Macaca fascicularis: one gene and its partners. The protein of the gene in region 1 purifies or fractionates together with the protein of each later gene. This does not show direct contact. Links are inferred from orthologs where the notes say so. Each region holds a gene or a part of one and is shown in the gene's direction. Other genes may lie near its edges. The genes, in order: ISG15, ENO1, HERC5, VCP, HSPB1 and FLNB.

Region 1 (2,775 bases):
CTCAGTAGTGTCCCAGAGTTCATTTTTGTAGAAAATACAAGATAGGTCTCTTTTATTAAAAAACAGTCTGAGGCCCAGGCGCAGTGGCTCACACCTGTAATCCCAGCACTTGCAGAGGCCGAGGCAGGTGGATCACTTGAGCCCAGGAGTTCGAGACCAGCCTGGGCAACATGGGGAGACCCCCATCTCTACTAAAAATACAAAAAAGTAGCCGGACCCCTGTGGTCCCAGCTACGTGGGAGGCTGACGTAAGGGGATCCCTTTAGCCAGGGAGGTGGAGGCTGCGGTGAGCTGAGATTGCACCTCTGCACTCCAGCCTGGGCGACAGAGTGAGACCCTGTCTCAAAAAAACAAAAACAACAAAAAACACCAAACCTGGGCAAATACTGCCCTAAACCAAGTGTTGTCATCTCTGGGGAGTTTGGAGGTTTTGTTTCTGAATTAACCATAGAGGTGTTTTCCATGTTTACTGTTTGCAAGTTGGTAAATGGAAAATGAAACCATTCGTTCATGTGAAGGCTTTAGCGCATTTTTTTTTTTTTTAACAGTTTCACTCTTGTTGCCCAGGCTGGAGCGCAATGGCGCGATCTCGGCTCACCGCAACCTCCACCTCCCAGGTTCAAGCGATTCTCCTGCCTCAACCTTCCCAAGTGGCTGGGATTACAGGCATGCGCCACCAAACCTGGCTAATTTTGTATTTTTAGTAGAAACGGGGTTTCTCTGTGTGGGTCAGGCTGCTCTCAAACTCCCGACCTCAGGTGATCCGCCCACCTCGGCCTCCCAAAGTGCTGGGATTACAGGAGTGAGCCACGGCATTCAACCAGCTTTAGTGCATCTTGTGAAGGACCTGGAATGCTCGATATTTAGGTGTTTCCAGGGTGTTGGGTGGGGGTGGGGATGCCGTCCGCCGTCCTGAGTCCCCGGCCCTGACAGTGCCTTTGAGACCCTGCCCACCCCCTTCTGCTTTTCCCCGTCTTTCGGCCATTCTGTTTTGTTTCTTCTGCTCACTCTGGGGCATGCCTGGGGAAAAGGAAACCGAAACTTGGCCACCGGAGCAGGCTCGCGCGGCAACGCCCCCTGACGTGTGTGGCTCAGGCTTATAACAGGGCTGGCTGCTGCCTGCAGGAGCCGGCAGTTGAGAGGCAGTGAACTCATCTTTGCCAGTACAGGAGCTCGTGCCGCGTCCCACAGCCCACAGCCATGGTAAGGGAGATGTCACAGGTGTGTGTGTGTTGGGTGGGGGGGGCCTCTGTGCCAGTCAATTTTTGTCTCCCCCAACCCGTGGCCCACAGCCCACAGCCATGGTAAGGGAGATGTCACAGGTGGGGGCTCGGGGGGGGGGGGCAGGCCTCTGTGCCAGTCAATTTTCAGCTCCCTCCCCCAGCCAAGGTCTCCCAGGGTTGCAGGGAGAGCAGAGCTGCTTAGAGCTCGGCCAGGTTCTAAGTGTGCTCCTGAAAGCAGGTCACCCCTGAGATCCTCAGGGTGGGCACAGAGGGGCACCCTAGCAGGTAAAGGGAGGCCACGGATGGCTGTGGGCAGCTGGCCTTCTAGTAATGACCCCTCAGTGCCTTCTGTGCCTGGGGTCCCTGCTGATGGGATGTAGAGGACAAACAGGAGGAAGCACTGTCCCTGGGCACAGGAGCTCGCCCAGCAGCCAGGGCCTTGTGTGTCGTGGGCCTGGGACTGGTGCGGCAGCCTCTGAGCCTGTGTAATGTCTGCAGAGCTGGGACCTGAAGGTGAAGATGCTGGGGGGCAACGAGTTCCAGGTGTCCCTGAGCAACTCCATGTCGGTGTCAGAGCTGAAGGCAAAGATCGCCCAGAAGATCGGCGTGCACGCCTTCCAGCAGCGTCTGGCTGTCCACCCCAGCGGCGCCACCCTGCAGGACAGGGTTCCCCTTGCCAACCAGGGCCTGGGCCCCGGCAGCACGGTCCTGCTGGTGGTGGACAAGTGCGATGAACCTCTGAGCATCCTGGTGAGGAACGACAAGGGCCGGAGCAGCACCTACGAGGTACAGCTGACGCAGACTGTGGCCCACCTGAAGCAGCAAGTGAGCCGGCAGGAGGGTGTGCAGGACGACCTGTTCTGGCTGACCTTCGAGGGGAAGCCCCTGGAGAATCAGCTCCCGCTGGGGGAGTACGGCCTCAAGCCCCTGAGCACCGTGTTCATGAATCTGCGCCTGCGGGGAGGCGGCACAGAGCCTGGCGGGCAGAGCTAAGGGCCTCCACCAGCATTCGAGCAAGATCAAGGGCTGGAAATAAATGTTGTAAAGAGAAATGGCTGCCTCTGTGTCTGCACATGACCCTCCTCCAGCGTCCGCCTCAGACCCCTAGTGAAGTGGCGGGAGGAGTCAGGAGGGAGATCCCAGGGTCCATCCTGGTGACCAGGCCTGGTTGCCAAGTGAAAGGATAAGGGTTTGCAGTTACAGCCTCGAGGGATCAAAATACGGAGCTTCCTCCCTACCAAACTGAAGTAAGACAGCTCTCCCCACCCTTTGGGAAATTAACTTCTAGGGAAAGAAAAAGAGACACAGTTGCTGGAGCCCATCCTGCCCATCCTCCATCTGGGACAGCAGACAGCTTAGGCAGGGACCAGCCTGCTCAAATCAAAAGGCTACGGGGGAGGCTCCCAGTGGGCCCCTGGAAGCGGTGAGGGGTGAGTCCTTGGGGCCTGCCCAGTGGGCTGTGAGGCAGGCTCTCCATAGGAACTGGGGGCTGGGGGCCTCAGCTGTCCCTAGCCCAGCCTGCACAGCCTGCTCCACCTGCCTGGGCTGGGCG
Region 2 (3,982 bases), about 7.8 Mb from region 1:
CGAAGTGCCGGCTGAGAATGTGGTGCTGCAGCCTCCAAGAATCTTGCAACAGCAGCAGTCTGGGATCATGTTCTGCCTCTCATTTCCTGCTAGATTTACTGGTTCTGGCCACAGCAGAGTATCTTTATCTCTCTAACCATTTTAATGTAAAATAAGATTGTTTGGAGCCCTTTCAGGGCCACGCCTTAGAACTGCTCTGAAAGTAAGAGTACCAAGTGCCTGATTTCTTAGAGTCCTTAACAGCAGGAGATGTTGGCTGATTTAGCTGCTGAGTCATGGGGCTGGAGATAGTGGTTTTCAGTAGCCAAAAACGTTAGTGTATTGCTGGTGAAATCACAAACTCTGCTTGCAAAATTTTATTATTATTATTATCATTTTGCTGAATTTAATCCTAAAGTTCTTGCTTCTTACCCACTGGAAAGCAAATACTATGTACTTAGTAGGCCTTCACTTTTAACCTACGCCATGGAAACCTGCCAGTAGCTAAGAGGACAAAAACGCTAGGGGTTAAGAAAGAAAAGTAGTTTTTGCAGCGGACCAGAAGAAATAATTAAATTCAAGTACATATTTGAACATCTCTTTGCAAGGAAATGAGGAAAATCAGGAGATGTTTTAGTTCTCTTAGTGACCAGCAATAATGTTGAAAAATATAAAAGTCACCGTAACAGAAAACGAAGTGATCATTTCAGCCCTCCCTTGGAGTCGGGGGGATCTATTGCGGAGCTGAGTTTTAATGGCTATCAGTTCTCGATCAAAAAGGTGAAATCACTCCACCAACTCCTTCCATATTCCATGGAATATGACCCGTCTTGAACTTTGAGAAATTCCCCGGGTCTATGTGAAATTCCAGTTCCAAATAATTTACATGAATGGTTCACAAGAATCCAGGTAGGTTTGATCTAGTTCCCTAGATGGGACTGAGGGGGATGTGAAATTTCAGATGCAACATTAACATGGGCTAGAGAATGAATTAACACTGGGGAAGCAGGTGGTGGCGCGCCAGACACCTAGGAGGCACTCAAGAAAAATGAGGTAGAAATAAAGGAAAGTGAACCTTCCTTTGGCTATTTCGGCCTGATTCTCACCGCAGCAAGGAGAAAGGGACAGGGTCACCTTGGCGGGTGCCAGGCGGAGCCCGGCCGGACGGGCGCGGCTGGGGGGCAGCGCGCAGGCGCAGGCGGCGCACGTGGCCCCGGAGGCGCACCGCTGCGGCCCGGCCCGCGACACAACGCCGGAGTGGGGCCGAGGCGCGTAGCCTCTCAACGACTCGACGCCAACGGGGTCTCCCGGATCGCGGCGCAGGACAAGAGGGGCGGGGCAGGAGGGCCGGGGCAGGCGCGGGCTGCCAAAGTCGTCAGCAAGGTCGAGGGCCGGACGCGCGGCCCCGGAGCGACGCTGAGTGCGTGCGGGACTCGCAGTACGTGACGGAGCCCCGAGCTCTCATGCCCGCCACGCCGCCCCGGGCTCTCACCCGGGGCCCCGGCTCCGCACACCTCAGTTCGGCTTACGGGTCCTATCTGGGGCTAGAGTTTCGCTCGCACCACCACAGGGCCGCTGGGTAGTCGGGGCACCCTAACTCCGCCCGCCTCACGTCCGCGGGTCGTCACCCCCCCTTTCCCGGCTGCAGCCGCCGCAGTCTCACCCCTTTCCGGGAGGTGAGAGCACGAGTGACGGCTTTCCCGACCAATGGCGAGGCGGCCCTGAGGAGGCGTGTCTGGAAGGCGGGAAGTGGGTGGGGCCCGCCTTAGCTGGGCAGGAAGTCCGAGTGCGGCGCGGACAGTAGGTGTGGGGAGCCGGAGCGCATAGACCTCGCAGACCTCACCGGCTTCACACTCACCTCGGTGTCTGCTGCACCCGCCGCTTCTTCTCCTAGGCCACGAGACCCAGCGGCTAGGTAACGATTAGGGAAGGGCTGAGCAACGGGCAGGCGGCGCAGGGCTTTTCTGGGCTTGCGGGGCTCTTTCCCCTCAGAGGGAGGCTGCGCGCCAACAGGCCCGGCGTGGCGGGGTCGGGGGCGCGTGCGAGCCGACTCCCTGGGTGGGAAGTGGCACCCCCGCTCACCCCGAGGCCCGGGACGGGGGCACAATGCGAGGTGCACGTGCTGGGTCCCGATTTCTTTGGAGGGGAAAGTGCAGATCAACACGTGATTACAGACTGCGGGGCAGGATCACCGTCGGGGAAGGTCGGGAGCTGCACACGCGAGCCGCTTAGCACAGCGGGAGTTGGGAGTGGAAGTTGCTTTTCCATCGTAGCCAAGTGTAAGGTTTTTGGGATGGACGCAGACATAGCGGTGGTGCCCACTGAGGCCAGGCCCTCCCTAAAATGGAGGAGGGCGGCGAGAGAGGAGATGCCCACGAGGCTGCAACCCCCTCCCCCACCGGCAGCCCCCGCCTCTCGCCTGCACTCGCGGCCCGCGCTTCGGCCCAGTAAGCGGTGACTCATTTCGAGAAGGCACCTCTTCTTGAGGAATCTGCCGCAGAGCCGTTAGATCATTGGCAAGCCCTCCAGGCGACCTCGCCCAAGTTGGGCAAGAGCGGCTCCCCGGCTGGCCATCAGACGTCGGGCCCTGATCTGAGAAGGATTTCCTTTTTTTTTTTTTGCTCTTGTTTCCCAGGCTGGAGTGCAATGGCCTGATCTCCTCGGCTCACTGCAACCTCCGCCTCCTGGGTTCAAGCGATTCGCCTACCTCAGCCTCCCGAGTAGCTGGGATTACAGGCATACGCCACCACGCCCGGCTAATTTTGTGTGTGTGTGTGTGTGTGTGTGTGTGTGTGTGTGTATATATATTTTTTTTTTTTTTTAATTAGAGGCGGTGTTTCACCATGTTGGTCAGGCTGGTCTTCAACTCCCGACCTCAGGTGATCCGCCCGCTTCGGCCTCCCAAAGTGCTGGGATTACAGGCGTGAGCCACCGCACCCGGCCAAGAAGGATTTTTTTTTTTTTTTTTTTTTTTGAAACGGAGTCTCGCTCTTGCTCTGTCGCCCAGGCTGGAGTGCAGTGGCCGGATCTCAGCTCACTGCAAGCTCCGCCTCCCGGGTTCACGCCATTCTCCTGCCTCAGCCTCCGGAGTAGCTGGGACTACAGGCGCCCGCCACTTCGCCCGGCTAGTTTTTTGTATTTTTTAGTAGAGACGGGGTTTCACCGTGTTAGCCAGGATGGTCTCCATCTCCTGACCTCGTGATCCACCCGTCTTGGCCTCCCCCGGCTAGTTTTTCGTATTTTTTAGTAGAGACGGGGTTTCACCGTGTTAACCAGGATGGTCTCGATCTCCTGACCTCGCGATCCGCCCGTCTCGGCCTCCCAAAGTGCTGGGATTACAGGCTTGAGCCACCGCGCCTGGCCAACTTAAATATGTTTAAACAAATTTGCCTTTTTGGAACCTAATAGATAAAAACTAAGTACCTTTTTCTTGGCTAATGAATAAAACTCCATTGTTACGTAGACAACAAAGCCACAGAAGTGACTTCAGTAAATAATTTTGCAAGTTAAAAATCTGCCCAAACTTAGATGTCTTATTGGCTGCTCCTGGTGGCTCACCCCTATAATCATCCTAGCATGCTTTGGGAGGCCAAGGCAGGGGAGGATCACTTGAACCCAGGAGTTTGACACCAACCTGGGCAACATAGTGAGACCCCCATCTCTTAAAAAAGTAATTAAAATAAAGATGTTGTCATTAATGACATAACAATACTGAAGTCCGGAGTACTGTGAAATTGGAAAGTCCCAGGAAGTGGCGGTAGCCAAGATCTCATGGTCCAAGGACTTTATTATTCCTGACTTCCAAACTCAGAATTTCTGATTATTAAATACCTACTAAGTGAATATTGTGCTGCTACTTCAAATTTAATCAGAAGAATTATGTCCAAACTTAATTCGCTATTTTGTTTTAATTCTGCTACAAGCCAGATTTTCCCCTCATCCCCCCACCCTCTTTTTGGCCTCGCCCTAGGTGGTTTTGCTTGTGACCTTCATGTCTGTTCTT
Region 3 (3,500 bases), on another chromosome or scaffold:
AACTATCACAACTAGCATGTAAGCTCCATGAGGACAGCTTTCTTTACTGCAGGGCTTCTCCAGGCCTCTGTTTATGTATATTGTGACTCTCTGGCCAGAAAATACAGTCTATAGTGTTCCCCAGTCCCATTCGATACTGGAACCATTAGTTTGTGTTCCTGTTATTCTTAGCCAAACAATTTGTACCATTCTTCTCTAAACCATAGAACTCCTACAGTCTTATAGAACTCCTGCCTATTCTTACAAACATCATCTTTTAGAAATATTTTAAAGTATGACTTTCTAATTCTGGAAAATGATTGTACAAAATGGTTGCACAAAATAATTGCATCATAATTTGCAAGCATAAATAATTAAGAACTGTACAACTACTGCTAAGATGAAACTCAGCATACTTCTTCCCCCATTTAATTTCTGGTAATTTATTTTGTTTCTACTTCAATGGAATAGAAATAAATAGGACTTGCATAGTTGGTGGGGTAGGAGTATTTTGTTTGTTCAAGAAAGTTCTGACCATAAATCAAGCCTTTCCTCTTTATTTGAGGCTTCTCTTAGTATGTATAAACTTTTTTATTTCCCATGTTTGCCACTGAAATTTTGAGATTTACCAAACAGAATGGACTTTTGGAAGCCAAGATAATATGCGTACAGATAGGAGACAAATGGAGAGGTTAGAAGGATTGTTATAAGATGTTGTATTTATCATGTTTCATGCTATAAAGAGGCTGTGTGTATGTATACCATGTGATTTGGTTTAACCAGTGTCTTATTACTAATACAGGGAAATCCAAGAGATATTTTCATCTCCTGCTTGTCTAACTGGAAGTTTTTTAAGGAAAAGGTAATATATGTAATAAATTAATTGTATTAAATTGTATTAAGAGTACCATGAAAGAGGATAAAAAATGATTGGAGGGTAAAATAATTAGCTGTGTGTTCGTCCCTTTCTAAAAATTGTTTTTTAACAAAAGTAAATATATGCTTGCTGTAGAAAATGTCAAAAATACATACAATAAAAAGAAAGTGAAAATCTTCCATAATCCATCACATAAGAGTAATAGCTAGCACTTATGTATATTATTTTTTCATGCAAATGTATTCTTTTACAAAAAATGAGATCATACTGGTTTTTTGTTTTTGTTTTTTGAGACAGGGTGTTACCCTGTCGTTGCCCATGCTGGAATGCAGTTGTGTGATCTTGGCTCATTGTAACCTTCGCCTCCCAGGCTGTAGCAATCCTCCCACCTCAGCCTGAGTAGCTGGGGCTTCAGACATATGGCACTACACACAGCTAATTTTTTTATTTTTTTGTAGAGCCAGAGTTTTACCATGTTGGCCAGGCTGGTTTCGAACTCCTGAACTCAGGCAATTTACCAGCCTTGGCCTCCCCAAGTGCTGGGATTTCAGGCGTAAGCCACCATGCCCAGCTGGATCACATTGTTTATACGTTGTTTTATACTTAATGTTTGCCCATTTTACATTTTGTTCTATCTTTTTTGGTATACATATATGTGTGTGTGTGTGTGTGTGTGTGTGTATATATATATATATATATGTATTTTTTTTTTTTTTGAGACAAGGTCTCCTGGAGTTACAGCATCATGGTTCTTGGGCTTAAGCATCATCAAACTCTTGGGCTCAAGCAATACTCCCACCTTAGCCTTCCACGTAGCTGGGACTACAGGCATGTGCCACCATCTCCTGCTAATTTTTTAACTTTTGTAAAGACAGCAGCTTTGCTATGTTGCCCAGGCTGGTCTTGAACTCCTGGCCTCAAGCAGTCCTCCCACCTCAGCCTCCCAGTGTTGAGATTATAGGTGTGAGCTACCACACGCAGCCGGTAACATAATTTTAATGGCCTCATGACCTTCCATTAGAAGGTCTTCCATGAGAAGATACTTAAACATTTCATTAATGACTTTATATTGAAGTACTAAGAAATTATTGGTCAGAAGCTCCCTCTTTTGGTTCCCACTTTTCAGTCCATTTAACTGGAAAAAATGGATGTATTTTTTAGAAATGGGAAAAACCTTTATCTTTTTTCTGTGGAGCTCCTTCCTTCCTTCCGTCCTTTCGTCCTTCCTTCCTTCCGTCCTTCCTTCCTGTGGTTGGTCCTTCCTTCCTGTGGTTGGTCCTTCCTTCGTTCCTTCGAAAAACATTTATCTTTTTTCTATGGCCCACCCTTCGTCCCTCCCTCCCTTCCTTCCCTCCCTCCCTTCCTTCCTTCCTTCCTTCCTTCCTTCCTTCCTTCCTTCCTTCCTTCCTTCCTTCCTTCCTTCCTTTCCTTCCTTTCCTTCCTTTCCTTCCTTTCCTTCCTTTCCTTCCTTTCCTTCCTTTCCTTCCTTTCCTTCCTTTCCTTCCTTTCTGAGGCAGGGTCTCGCTCTGTCACCCAGGCTGGAGTACAGTGGCATGTTCACAACTCACTGCAGCCTTGACCTCTCAAGCTCGAGCAATTCTCCTGTCTCAGCCTCCCTCTGTGGCTATTTTTTTTAAACTGAGAAATATTTATTTTTTTTAATCTATTACAGATAAGACAGCATCTGAGTTAAAGTCTTATGGTATATATAGTTAAAGCAGCCTTGATATTTTTTGGTATTTTAGAAAAAATCATGTTGTTTACTACATTGCATTTGTATTTAGACAATTATAGTTATACATGAGAAAAAATGTAATTTTGTTGAAATGGGGCAAGCTCTGGAAGAAACTTTGCATCTAGAGAGATAATCTAACAAGATACTTAATTTATCTTCTACAGAAGAACTACAGAAATGATGCCTGTTTATTTGGACTTAAATAAAGCAAGAAACATCTTCAAGGAGTTAACCCAAAAGGACTGGATTACTAACATGGTATCTTCAGATTGTTATGTGGAGAAAGAAAATAGACCAGAATATTTCTTATAAGAACTCGAAATTTCAGAAGAAATGTTTTGTGTTAAGGGATTCTCCGAGACCTTGTAGCATATTCAGATTAAGTTAAACTCAGATAACAATTAGGAGTTTGCCCTTTTAGGGTGAAATAATTGGCATAGTAGTCACACAGGTTACAAATATTCTAAATAATGTGTCTGTACACAAACACACATGCACATATATGCATACACATTCCTAGAGGGAGGGAGGTTTTTCAACTCAGGGCTTTAGGAAGATGATTAAGGATTTGTTGAGATTGGCACACTAGAATAAGAACATTTTATGTGCAATCCTTTTAAGCGTAAATGTAGAAATAAGAACATTTTTTCTGATATGAATATCCTTCTCACCAGGGACTGCCTGGATTCTTTGTTTTTTTTTTTCCATTCCACTTTTCTGTAGATTCTAGAATGTTCTTGTTCTTTATGGGATGATTGCTTCCTGTTTCAGCACTGTTAGTACTATCTTTAGGGTTTTTTTCTTGCAGGTGCTCCGAACATGCTTCCTTTATTTTTATTTTTATTTTTTTGGAGATGGAGTCTCGCTCTGTCGCCCACACTGGAGTGCAGTGGCACAATCTCGGCTCAC
Region 4 (3,500 bases), on another chromosome or scaffold:
AGCTGGGCGTGGTGGCTCATGCCTGTAATCCCAGCTACTGGGAAGGCTGAGGCGGGAGAATCACTTGAACCTGGGAGGCGGAGCAGAGGTTGCAGTTAGCTGAGATCCCTTCATTGCATTCCAGCCTGTACAACAAGAGCGAAACTCCATCTCAAGAAAAAAAAAAAAAAGAGAGAGAGAGAGAACTTGAGTCTACTAAGTGACAGCTGGAGATGGGCTAGGTAATAAGTTGGTGTCACTGTCTGGTGAATGACCCTGTCTTGTAGGAAATAACAAACTGAGTATAGACCCAGTCAACTTTGATTTGGATGAGAGGGATTTGTATTTGCACAGTGTTTCAGCATTTCTTGGTTTTGGTTTTTTGAGCCAACTTTATGGAATTGTGTGCTTTTGCAGAAATTACTGTGAAGTTCCTTTTGACCTTGAGCCTCTTTCTGGCAGTTTCATGTCTGTTAGTGTTGTTTCCAAATATGATGGAAACCATATGATGATTTTTATGCTTGGCATTCCTTTGGTACTATGGAATGCCCTGGCATCAGTAGGTTTAGCCTATAAGGAGGGTAGCACCAATAATTCTGCTTCATTGTCCCCAGGCTTGCTTGGTAGGACTTGAGAGCTCCCTGAGCCTCAAGGGAAATTGTCTGGCTTACTTCATTCCCTGGAAAGTTAGCTTATGCTTTATACTGTTAATCATGGTGACTGTTATTACCATGTGCCAGCTATTATGTTAAGCATTTTACATTCATTATCTCCCTTAAGACAATAAGCCTCTGAGGTAAGTATTATAGTCTCTCTCTTATAGAGGAAGACATCAAAGTTCAGAGGTTAGGTAACTTGCCCAAGATCACAGTTAAGTAGTGGCAGAATTGGAATTCAGACCCAATGGGTCTGACTATTATAGAGTTCCTGCTCTTAACCACTCTTCTATAAGTCTAAGACTATTTTTATTTCTCTAATAACTCTTCAGTCTCCATTTCTATTATGTCTTCTTGGGGCAGGATCACTCACTTGGAGCCTTATAGCTGGGACACTGATGCTCAAAATACCAGGAGCTGCCGGAATGGGTATTGTAATATGTATGCTAGATACTGCTCCTCGTGACCTTGGCTGCCTTTCCTTCATCCGCGCTCTCTGGTCTAGGGACAGCTTCATCTATTCACTGTTTGTTTCCTAAGTATGAGTTTTAGAGACTGGTGAGGCCCTTGGGGCGGGAGTATCTACTGGGACTGACTCCATTTCCTGCTTCTAGTTCAAAAGGTGATGACCTATCAACAGCCATTCTCAAACAGAAGAACCGTCCCAATCGGTTAATTGTTGATGAAGCCATCAATGAGGACAACAGTGTGGTGTCCTTGTCCCAGGTAAGCTGGGGCCACAAACTAGTCTTTCCTTACTGCACTTACTTGAGGGATTTGCCCAGGTTTCTTTTCTCATTTTGCAGATATTTCTATTTGCAGACTGCAGATAGAGTGGGGTTTACTGGGAATCCCAATCTCGAGGGCTGTTGCTTACTCCCCTTCTGCCCAGTGACCCAAAGGCCTTAACTTTCTTTCCTCAGCCCAAGATGGATGAATTGCAGTTGTTCCGAGGTGACACAGTGTTGCTGAAAGGAAAGAAGAGACGAGAAGCTGTTTGCATCGTCCTTTCTGATGACACTTGTTCTGATGAGAAGATTCGGATGAATAGAGTTGTTCGGAATAACCTTCGTGTACGCCTAGGGGATGTCATCAGGTGTGTGGGGTTTTTGGCTCCACAGGGATGGGAGGCCAGAGATAGCCTGCATTACAGGCAGTACCCATGTATTACAGGCAGGACCAAGTTCTTGGAACCTGTCGATGCAGGAAGCCTGCTGGTCATGGGAAGACTTATGCTTCAGGATTGTCTTTAGGTTTTGGTTCTGCCTTCCTGGGACTTCAAAATCCATTTCTGCAGGTCGCTTGAGACAAATTGGCATTCCTGTAACTTTCTTGGTGCCTTTATTTTTTCCTACTAGAAGTGTAATTTATCATACTTATAGCCTAGCTTAGGATACCACTCGAGGGTGTGTATGTATCTGCCAAATAACCTCCTCACTACTCTCACTAGTATGTCCAATTAATGGCTTGCGTTGGGGTTGGAATGAGGTGGGGATATGGACATGGAAGGTGAGCTGCTAGCAGGCCTTTTAAGCCCCTAAGTGAACCCGGGAGAGAGGAATAGTTGGAGCCAGACCCAGGATAGTTCTCAATGTGAGTGATTTTGCTTGTTCTTGCATAATTTTAGGCAAGAGGTTGCCCCATCTTGGAGTCATCTCTAGCCACTCTTACCCAACCAACCATCACCTGGCCAGGATCATCTCAGGCTTTTGATTCTTTTTGATGGAGTCTAAGTTTCATGTAGCTTTCTTCTTGGGGGTGCTTAGTCACTTCCTCAAGGTGTTCTGAACACCTGGCTGAGATAATTTTGTTTTTTTCACTTCTGTTTCACTGACCCTGACAGTTGTTAGCTTAAGACCTTCCCTTGTAATATTGGGTCACCAATATTAGCTAGAAGGGGATCATCCTTGGATATCTCACTGAAGACCTTGCATATCTTTGTGGGGTTTCTAAATGTGTGGCTCTTGATTTTGGCTCACTGATTAGAAGTGAGTGGGGCTGTTCCTTTGCCCTCACTTCCACGGTGTTCTCCTTCCTCTCTTCACCTAAAGCCATCCTGCCTTTTCTTTTTCACTTACTATCAGCTATCTGTGCCAGGCCCTTTTGGACACCCAGTGCTTGGGCCCGAAGTGTGGTTGGTAATATGGAGTCTGCTTGTCATCCTCAGCATCCAGCCATGCCCTGATGTGAAGTACGGCAAACGTATCCACGTGCTGCCCATTGATGACACGGTGGAAGGCATTACTGGTAATCTCTTTGAGGTATACCTTAAGCCGTACTTCCTGGAAGCTTATCGACCCATCCGGAAAGGTGAGAGCTAATTCTGAGTTTAAGGATTATTGACTGTAGTTAATAAACCTTGGAACATCTTCGTCTCGTTTTCTTTCTTTTTTTTTTAATCTTTTATGCTTTTCTCCTGTATTTATTTATTTATTTTTTAAGAGATGGGGTCAGCTGGGCACCGTGGCTCACACCTATAACCCCAGCGATTTGGGAGGCTGAGGCGGGTGGATCACTTGAGGCCAGGAGTTCGAGACCAGCCTGGCCAACATGGCAAAACCGCATTGTGGGCACCTGTAATCCCAACGACCTGAGGGGCTGAGGCACAAGAATTGCTTGAACCCAAGAGGTGGAGGTTGCAGTGAGCCAAGACCAGGCCACTGTACTCCAGCCTGGGTGACAGAGCAAGACTCTGTCTCAAAAAAAAAAAAGAAATGGGGTCTCACTATGATGCCCACGCTGGTCTCAAACTGCTGGGCTCAAGTGACCCACCTGCCATGGCCTCCCAAAGTGCTGGGATTACAGGCATGAGCCGTCATGCCTAGTCTCATTTTCTTTTCTTTTTTTTTTATTTGAGACAGAGTC
Region 5 (3,383 bases), on another chromosome or scaffold:
AGAATCTAACTTGCACAAGTTCATCTGCTTAGTGACAGAACCAAGATGTGAATTCAGGCAGTCTGGCTTCAAAGTCCACACTCCTAACAACCGTACCAGATTACCAGATTGTTTTTTTTTTTTTTTTTTGAGATGGAGTCTCGCTCTGCCGCCCAGGCTGGAGTGCAGTGGTGAGATCTCAGTTCACCGCAACCTCTGCCTTCGGGGTTCAAGCAATTCTCCTGCCTCAGCCTCCCCAGCAGCTGCGATTACAGGCGCCCGCCACCACACCCAGCTAATTTTTGTAATTTTAGTAGAGATGAGGTTTCACCATGTTGGCCAGGCTGGTCCCAAACTCCTGACCTCTGGTGATCCTCCCACCTCAGCCTCCCAAAGTGCTGGGATTACAGGGGTGAGCCACCACACCCAGCCCAGACTGCTTTATCTTTGTATTTGTATTTATTCATTTACTTATTTTGAGACAGGGTTTTGCTCTGCAGCCCATGCTGAAGTGCAGTGGTGCAATCCAGGTTCACCAAAGCCTCTACTCACCAGCGTTCAAAGGAGCTCACCAGCGTTCAAAGGAGCCTGCTGCCTCAGCCTCCAGAGTAGCTGAGGCCACAGGCGTGCACACCATGCCCAGCTAATTTTAAAAAAAATTTTGGTAGAGGTAGGGTCTCACTATGTTGCCCAGAATGGTCTCAAACTCCTGGCCTCAGGGGACCCTTCTGCCTTGGCCTCCCAAAGTGCTGAGATTACAGGCATGAGCCACGCACCCGGCCCCTTTTTAAAAATTTTTTTAACAGGTCCTTGCTCTGTTGCCTAGGCTAGAGTGCAGTGGTAAGATCATAACGCACTGCAGCCTCGAACTCCTGGGCTCAAGCACCAGCCTGCTTTATATCACATTCCATCTCACACGCTTGTGATTCCAATCCTGCCGCTGCCACTTCTCAGTTGTATGCCCCAACCCAACCTGCCTGGCTCTGTCCTCCTTAACAAAAGAACGGCCCTGGCCACGGGTCACAGTCGGCAGCTCTTAAGCACCAGGGCCGGCGAGTGCCCTGCCGTGGCACGGCTCCAGCTTCGAGCTCTCGAACTCATTTGTTTTCCTTAACGAGAGAAGGTTCCAGATGAGGGCAGAACCCTCTTCGCCCCGCCCACGGCCCCTGAACGCTAGGGGAGGAGTGCATGGGGAGGGGCGGCCCTCAAACGGGTCATTGCCATTAATAGAGACCTCAAACACCGCCTGCTAAAAATACCCGACTGGAACCGCATAAAAGCGCAGCCGGGCCCAGCGCCCCGCACTTCTCCGAGCAGACGTCCAGAGCAGAGTCAGCCAGCATGACCGAGCGCCGCGTCCCCTTCTCGCTCCTGCGGGGCCCCAGCTGGGATCCCTTCCGCGACTGGTACCCGCACAGCCGCCTCTTCGACCAGGCCTTCGGGCTGCCCCGGCTGCCCGAGGAGTGGTCGCAGTGGTTGGGCGGCAGCAGCTGGCCAGGCTACGTGCGCCCCCTGCCCCCCGCCGCGATCGAGAGCCCCGCGGTGGCCGCGCCCGCCTACAGCCGCGCGCTCAGCCGGCAGCTCAGCAGCGGGGTCTCGGAGATCCGGCACACGGCGGACCGCTGGCGCGTGTCCCTGGATGTCAACCACTTCGCCCCGGACGAGCTAACGGTTAAGACCAAGGATGGCGTGGTGGAGATCACCGGTGAGTCCCCCTGGTCCTGCAGAGGAGGGGAGGAGGCTAGCGGGGCGGGCAGGGCCGGGGGAGGGGTGCGGTTGAAACGGGGGTCCCGGGGGCCTGGGGAGTTAAATGTTAGCCCAGCACCGGGAAAAACAGGATCCCTGATTCCTCTGCTCAGGAATTGGGAGTGCAGGTCGCTTCTAAGGGCGCTTTGTGCTCTGTAATCCCAGCGCTTTGGAAGGCCGAGACGGGAGGATGGCTTGAGGCCAGGAGTTCAAGACTAGCCCGGGCAACATAGCGAGACGCCCCCCAACACTACAAAAAAATTAAAAAGCAACCAAAAAAATTTTTTAAAAGACCATCAATGAAGAGAGAAAATGCACCTTTCCACAGAGCCCCCTCCCCACCCACAACCCCATCCCCAGATAAGCGGGTTCCCTGTTTCTAGCCGCGGAGAGGGCGTGCGTGCGGCTCCAAGTGCGCCTGGGCACTGCTCACTCCCCAGCTCGGCGCCCTGCTCCATTCCTCCCAAAACTCTGAATCGAGGAACTTTCCGGAAGTTTCTGAGAACCCGGACAGGCGGGCACGCCCCCACCCCCAACCCCCTCCGTTAATCCCTGCCGGCCTGCAGTCCTAGCTGCTTCCAAGCAGGAGGTGGGGCCTCTGGCCTGGCGGGGCCGAGAGGCGGTCCCCTCCCCCATAGTCTGATTTCCCTCTTTCCCCAAAAGGCAAGCACGAGGAGCGGCAGGACGAGCATGGCTACATCTCCCGGTGCTTCACGCGGAAATACACGTGAGTCCTGGCGCCAGATCGGGGTGGGTGGGGGGCGGGGGGCGGGGGTCAGGGAGGAGGGCACAGGGACCCACCCAGTGTGTAATGTAACGCTCGCCTTCTCTCTCTGCACGTCCAGGCTGCCCCCCGGTGTGGACCCCACCCAGGTCTCCTCCTCCCTGTCCCCTGAGGGCACACTGACCGTGGAAGCCCCCATGCCCAAGCTAGCCACACAGTCCAACGAGATCACCATCCCGGTCACTTTCGAGTCGCGGGCCCAGCTTGGGGGCCCAGAAGCTGCAAAATCTGACGAGACTGCCGCCAAGTAAAGCCTTAGCCCGGATGCCCACCCCTGCTGCCGCCACTGGCTGCGCCCCCCCACCCTCAACCTGTGTGTTCTTTTGATACGTTTATCTTGTTTTTCTCAAATAAAGTTCCAAGTAACCCACCTGTCACTGGCTCAGACCCTGGTATTTGTGGAAGGAAGCCTCAGGCACCTGCCATTTGCTGGCTTCCACAAGTCACCTTTACTCAGGGTGTACTGTGTGCCCAGCCCCGTGCTGGGCCATGTTGGTACACTGATGTAGGTTGCTGGACACGGGCTGACTCACATAAAGAGAGGTCGTAGGGCCGGGCGCAGTGGCTCATACCTGTAATCCCAGCCCTTTGGGGGGTTGAGGCAGGAGAAGTGCTTGAAGTCAAGAATTCTAGACCAGTCTGGACAATGTAGTGAGACTCTGTCTCTAAAAAATAAAAATTAGCCAGGGTGTTACTGCATGCCTGTAGTCCCAGCTACTCAGGAGGCTGAGGCAGGAGGATCGCTTGAGCCCAGGAGTTGAAGGGTGCAGTGAGCTAAGATCGTGCCATTGCACTCCAGCCTGGACAACAGAGCAAGATCCTGTTTCAAAAAAACAAAACAATCAAAAGCTCAGAAAGAGTGAGACCCTGTCTT
Region 6 (4,059 bases), on another chromosome or scaffold:
GAATCACTTGAACCCAGGAGGAGGTTGCACTGAGTCGAGATTGCACCACTGGACTCCAGTCTGGGCAACAGAGCGAGACTCCGTCGCAGAAAAAAAAATAAAAGAGGAAGATACACCTATGGAGAGAGGACTGTGTGAGAGACTCTACCTGACATAGCGGGCTTTCTTTTCTTTTCTTTTTTTTTTTTTTTTTGAGACGGAGTTTTGCTCTGTCACCCAGGCTGGAGTGCAATGGCATCATCTCAGCTCACTGCAACCTCCGCCTCCTAGGTTCAAGCGATTCTCCTATCTCAGCCTTCCCAGTAGTTGGGATTACAGGTACGTGCCACCACACCTGGCTAATTTTTGTATTTTAAGTAGAGATGGGGTTTTACCATGCTGGCCAGGTTGGTTTCCAACTCCTGACCTCAGGTGATCCACCTACCTTGGCCTCCCAAAGTGCTGGGATTACAGGCGTGAGCCGCTGTGCCCAGCCCATTGCAGGCTTTCACAGAGAAAAGGGGCAGGAGTCAGGCACGCAGGCAGCTTCTGGAAGTTAGAAAAGGCAAGGAAACAGATTCTTCCCTACAGCCTCCAGAAGGGAATGCATCTTGCCAATTTAGCTAAGCGAGACCCATGTGGGCCATCGAACCTACAGAACTTAACAATAATACATTTGTGCATGTGTGTTTTCAAAGACACTAAGTTTTGGTAACTTGTTACAGCAGTAACTGGAACCTAAGACAGGTAGCAAGCCTTATTGTTCATTTTTACCACACTACTGGGCTGTTGGTGATGGTGGATTTACACTTTTCTCTCCCATTAGGCTGTGAACTCCTTGAAGTTGTGCAATACGTTTGTCTGATTTACTACTGGTTGGCAGGCTCTGAGAAGAATGCCTGGTACACAAGTGGAGCTCAATAAAAGCCCTCACTGAATTTTATTGAATGTATATGTGGATGTAGACCTCCGCTCTGCGCGCCCCTCCCGCAAGTCCCACTGCTGCCCGACCCATTCTGTCCGGCTCCCAGTCCCCGCGAGTCCCCCCACCCCAGGGCTGACGGGGTGATTTAGGCAGCCCTACGTCCTGCTGGGGTGGTGGGCTTCGAGCGCGGGTCCCAGGACGCCGTGAGGCGCAGTGCCTGCAGCAGGCGGCAGGGGGCGAGCGTGGCCCAGGAAATCCCGCGGGAGGGTCGGTACGGGGCGGGGCTTAGGGGCGGGGCGGCTCAGCGCGCAGGCGCGGGGCCAGGCGCCTCGCGCGGCCAGAGGCGGGCGGCCGCAGAGCAGCACCGGCCGTGGCTCCGGTAGCAGCAAGTTCGAACCCCGCTCCCGCTCCGCTTCGGTTCTCGCCACTTCGGCCCTTGGGCCTCCAAACACCAGTCCCCGGCAGCTCGTTGCGCATTGCGTTCTCCCCGCCACCAGGATGCCGGTAACCGAGAAGGATCTGGCGGAGGACGCGCCTTGGAAGAAGATACAGCAGAACACTTTCACACGCTGGTGCAATGAGCACCTCAAGTGCGTGAACAAACGCATCGGCAACCTGCAGACCGACCTGAGCGACGGGCTGCGGCTCATCGCGCTGCTCGAGGTGCTCAGCCAGAAGCGCATGTACCGCAAGTACCATCAGCGGCCCACCTTTCGCCAGATGCAGCTCGAGAATGTGTCCGTGGCGCTCGAGTTCCTGGACCGTGAGAGCATCAAGCTCGTGTCCATCGGTGAGTTCTCTGGCCAGGCCCAGGCGCCGACTGTGGTGCCGACCCGCCCCCGCGCGTGCACCCCTGCGGAGGGCGAGGACTTCCCGCAGCGCACCCCCACCTGGGAGTCGTCCCCGGGGGTGGGATATAGGGGGCCTAGACCCCCCTCCCCGGTGCCCTCCTCTGGGCTGGGACCTGTTGGGATCGCTCCCCGCCGTGCGCCCCAGCAGTGCACCTTTGGCTGGCTAAGGGTTGAGGGTTTGGACTGGGGTCACAGGAGGAGAGGTGGAGTTGTGGCATTTCTCTGCACCTGGGGCGCCCCTATGGGAGCTAGGGGACTAGAAACCCTCGTTCGCCATCCCCGGGGGCGGGGCCCTAGAGTCAGATGCTCTCCGGAGCGCTCGCCCGGCTGCGCCCAGGTTGGTGCTCTCTGCGGCAGCTGAATGGGCGTTGGCTCGGAGGCCGGGCCATGAGACCTGGGGAGGAACCGTTCTCTGCGCCTGGGGCCTCCCCGCCCAGGTGGAGACAGAGACTTGGTACCTTCCCCTGCTGTCGCTGGAATGGGTGTGGGCCCCGAGGTTGCCAGGGGAGGCGCGGGTGTGTGTCCTGGCTCCGTCTGCTCCCAGCTCAGCTCTGGCCGCGCCGCAGGTTGAACCCACTCCTTGCTGCCGAAGTTACAATGTAGGGATGGTGGTGGTAACAGTAATTGCTGTCTTGTAGGGAGCCCAACTAGCGTCCTCTGTGTACTGTCAGCCTTCTAAGTTATCTCCGTCCCTACACATCCTGCGAGCTGGGGTGAGGCTAGACCCGTTTTAGAGATAAGAGGGTCCAGAGGGTTAGTTGACTTGTCCAAGGTCAGCAAGTAGGGCCCAGCTGAGAATTGAAGGAAGTGGGCGACAGTTAGAAGAAGGCTTTGTTTTCCTCTCCCCTCCCAAACCCACACCAGGGTCTTCCTGAAAGGAGGGAGGGAATTGGTGTCTCTTGCTGGACTGGGCCCCCTGGACTGGGGAGGAAGAATAAGGATGAAGTCTCCCTTGTGGTCTGAGATAGTTGGGCGCTTCCAGGAGGGCCACAAGGCGGCTGAGAGTGTGGGCCGTGACAGTAGGGGCAAGGAGTTTGTAGTATGTGTGTGTGCATGTGGACATGTGTGCAGAGAATGTGTGTACACACATAGCATGTATGTATAGCATGTGCATATGCAAAGAGAGTTTGTGTGTACACGGAATGGGTGTGCAGAGTATGTTTGTATGCAGAGAATGTGTATCCGCCTGTGTGTGTGTGTGTGTGTGTGTGTGTGTGTGTGTGTGGGTGGGTGGGTTTGGGCGGGAGAGGGTCCTGGGTCTGGATCTCTTCCTAAGGAGAACCAGGGACTGGCCCTGGCTTGTGACTTGGGTCTTTTCCTGAGGAAAGCAGGTCACTATAGTGACCCTAGTGACAGGAAGAAAGGGAGATGGGTGTGGCTGCCAGGACTTTCTCCAGTGGAAAAGGGATTCCCTCTAGGCTGAGCCTCCCCTAGGCCTCAGGGCCTCACCCTTCCCTTCCCCCACACCTGTCCTGGCAGGTAGGGCTGCTTCCTGCTTCCTGGGCAGCCGCACCACCCAGCCCAGCGGCACCACCCAGCCGATCTCCAGCAGCCCTCCCCCTCCCCAAGGGTGGCTTCCAGGCAGAAAAACCCACATGCCATGCCGTTGTCTTCTTCCTGGGGTCCATCTCCTGTACTGGGGAGGGATAACCTCAGAATCTTCTGGAATTCTTTACCATTCAGAAACCAGCCTCCCCTCTGAAGAATCGCAAGGCCCAGCTGGGCCCAACTTGGATCTGTTCTTTGTTTTAAAAATGTGTATTTATTTAATTAACTGAATAAAGAAACTTAAAGTAAACCAGAAGTATCCAGATATGACATGAAATCTCTAAAACAACAACCAAACCAAACCAAACCGCAGCACTAGCAAATCACAGACTGCCTGATCTACCAACTGTTTACAAAGGCAGCAGCTACTTCCAGCACTGTCTGTCATCAGTGCCTGGGGCTGTGGGTCTCATTCTAGATTTTGTCTGGTCGCTTACATTTTTTTACTTGGTTCTCCTGATTCCCTGCTCCCCCTACTCCCTACCACCCCGCCCCAAGATGGAGCCTTGCTCTGTCTCCAGGCTGGAGTACAATGGTGCCATCTCCGCTCACTGCAACCTCCACCTCCCGGGTTCAAGCGATTCTTCTGCCTCAGCCTCCTGAGTAACTGGAAATACAGGCACGCGCCACCACACCCGGCTAATTTTTATATTCTTAGGAGAGATGGGGTTTCAGCATGGTGGCCGGACTGGTCTCGAACTCTTGACCTCATGACCCACCCGCCTCGGCCTCCCAAGTGCTGGGGTTACAGGTATG

Evidence for each region.
Region 2: the proteins of ISG15 (region 1) and ENO1 purify together in Homo sapiens (affinity purification with mass spectrometry; 4 studies listed by BioGRID, with this or other methods). This does not show direct contact. The link is inferred for Macaca fascicularis from reciprocal best matches to the Homo sapiens genes ISG15 and ENO1.
Region 3: the proteins of ISG15 (region 1) and HERC5 purify together in Homo sapiens (affinity purification with western blotting; 3 studies listed by BioGRID, with this or other methods). This does not show direct contact. The link is inferred for Macaca fascicularis from reciprocal best matches to the Homo sapiens genes ISG15 and HERC5.
Region 4: the proteins of ISG15 (region 1) and VCP purify together in Homo sapiens (affinity purification with mass spectrometry, with the first as the bait; 3 studies listed by BioGRID). This does not show direct contact. The link is inferred for Macaca fascicularis from reciprocal best matches to the Homo sapiens genes ISG15 and VCP.
Region 5: the proteins of ISG15 (region 1) and HSPB1 purify together in Homo sapiens (affinity purification with mass spectrometry; 3 studies listed by BioGRID, with this or other methods). This does not show direct contact. The link is inferred for Macaca fascicularis from reciprocal best matches to the Homo sapiens genes ISG15 and HSPB1.
Region 6: the proteins of ISG15 (region 1) and FLNB purify together in Homo sapiens (affinity purification with mass spectrometry; 3 studies listed by BioGRID and IntAct, with this or other methods). This does not show direct contact. The link is inferred for Macaca fascicularis from reciprocal best matches to the Homo sapiens genes ISG15 and FLNB.

The regions. Positions count from the first base shown.
Region 1 is NC_088375.1:233,759,445-233,762,219, reverse strand, and holds ISG15 (ubiquitin-like protein ISG15), read left to right. Parts: upstream 1-1,130; 5' UTR 1,131-1,200; coding exon 1,201-1,203; intron 1,204-1,286; exon of another isoform or gene 1,287-1,301; coding exon of another isoform or gene 1,302-1,304; intron 1,305-1,721; coding exon 1,722-2,216; 3' UTR 2,217-2,275; downstream 2,276-2,775.
Region 2 is NC_088375.1:225,981,552-225,985,533, forward strand, and holds the start of ENO1 (alpha-enolase), read left to right. Parts: upstream 1-1,182; 5' UTR 1,183-1,417; intron 1,418-1,774; exon of another isoform or gene 1,775-1,894; intron 1,895-3,982. UniProt on the Homo sapiens protein: Glycolytic enzyme the catalyzes the conversion of 2-phosphoglycerate to phosphoenolpyruvate. In addition to glycolysis, involved in various processes such as growth control, hypoxia tolerance and allergic responses.
Region 3 is NC_088379.1:94,019,177-94,022,676, forward strand, and holds part of HERC5 (E3 ISG15--protein ligase HERC5), read left to right. Parts: intron 1-781; coding exon 782-841; intron 842-2,755; coding exon 2,756-2,849; intron 2,850-3,500.
Region 4 is NC_088389.1:64,363,425-64,366,924, forward strand, and holds part of VCP (transitional endoplasmic reticulum ATPase), read left to right. Parts: intron 1-1,249; coding exon 1,250-1,361; intron 1,362-1,558; coding exon 1,559-1,731; intron 1,732-2,802; coding exon 2,803-2,945; intron 2,946-3,500. UniProt on the Homo sapiens protein: Necessary for the fragmentation of Golgi stacks during mitosis and for their reassembly after mitosis. Involved in the formation of the transitional endoplasmic reticulum (tER).
Region 5 is NC_088377.1:51,430,815-51,434,197, reverse strand, and holds HSPB1 (heat shock protein beta-1), read left to right. Parts: upstream 1-1,280; 5' UTR 1,281-1,320; coding exon 1,321-1,684; intron 1,685-2,388; coding exon 2,389-2,452; intron 2,453-2,570; coding exon 2,571-2,760; 3' UTR 2,761-2,883; downstream 2,884-3,383. UniProt on the Homo sapiens protein: Small heat shock protein which functions as a molecular chaperone probably maintaining denatured proteins in a folding-competent state. Plays a role in stress resistance and actin organization.
Region 6 is NC_088376.1:121,080,937-121,084,995, forward strand, and holds the start of FLNB (filamin-B), read left to right. Parts: upstream 1-1,259; 5' UTR 1,260-1,402; coding exon 1,403-1,694; intron 1,695-4,059. UniProt on the Homo sapiens protein: Connects cell membrane constituents to the actin cytoskeleton. May promote orthogonal branching of actin filaments and links actin filaments to membrane glycoproteins. Anchors various transmembrane proteins to the actin cytoskeleton.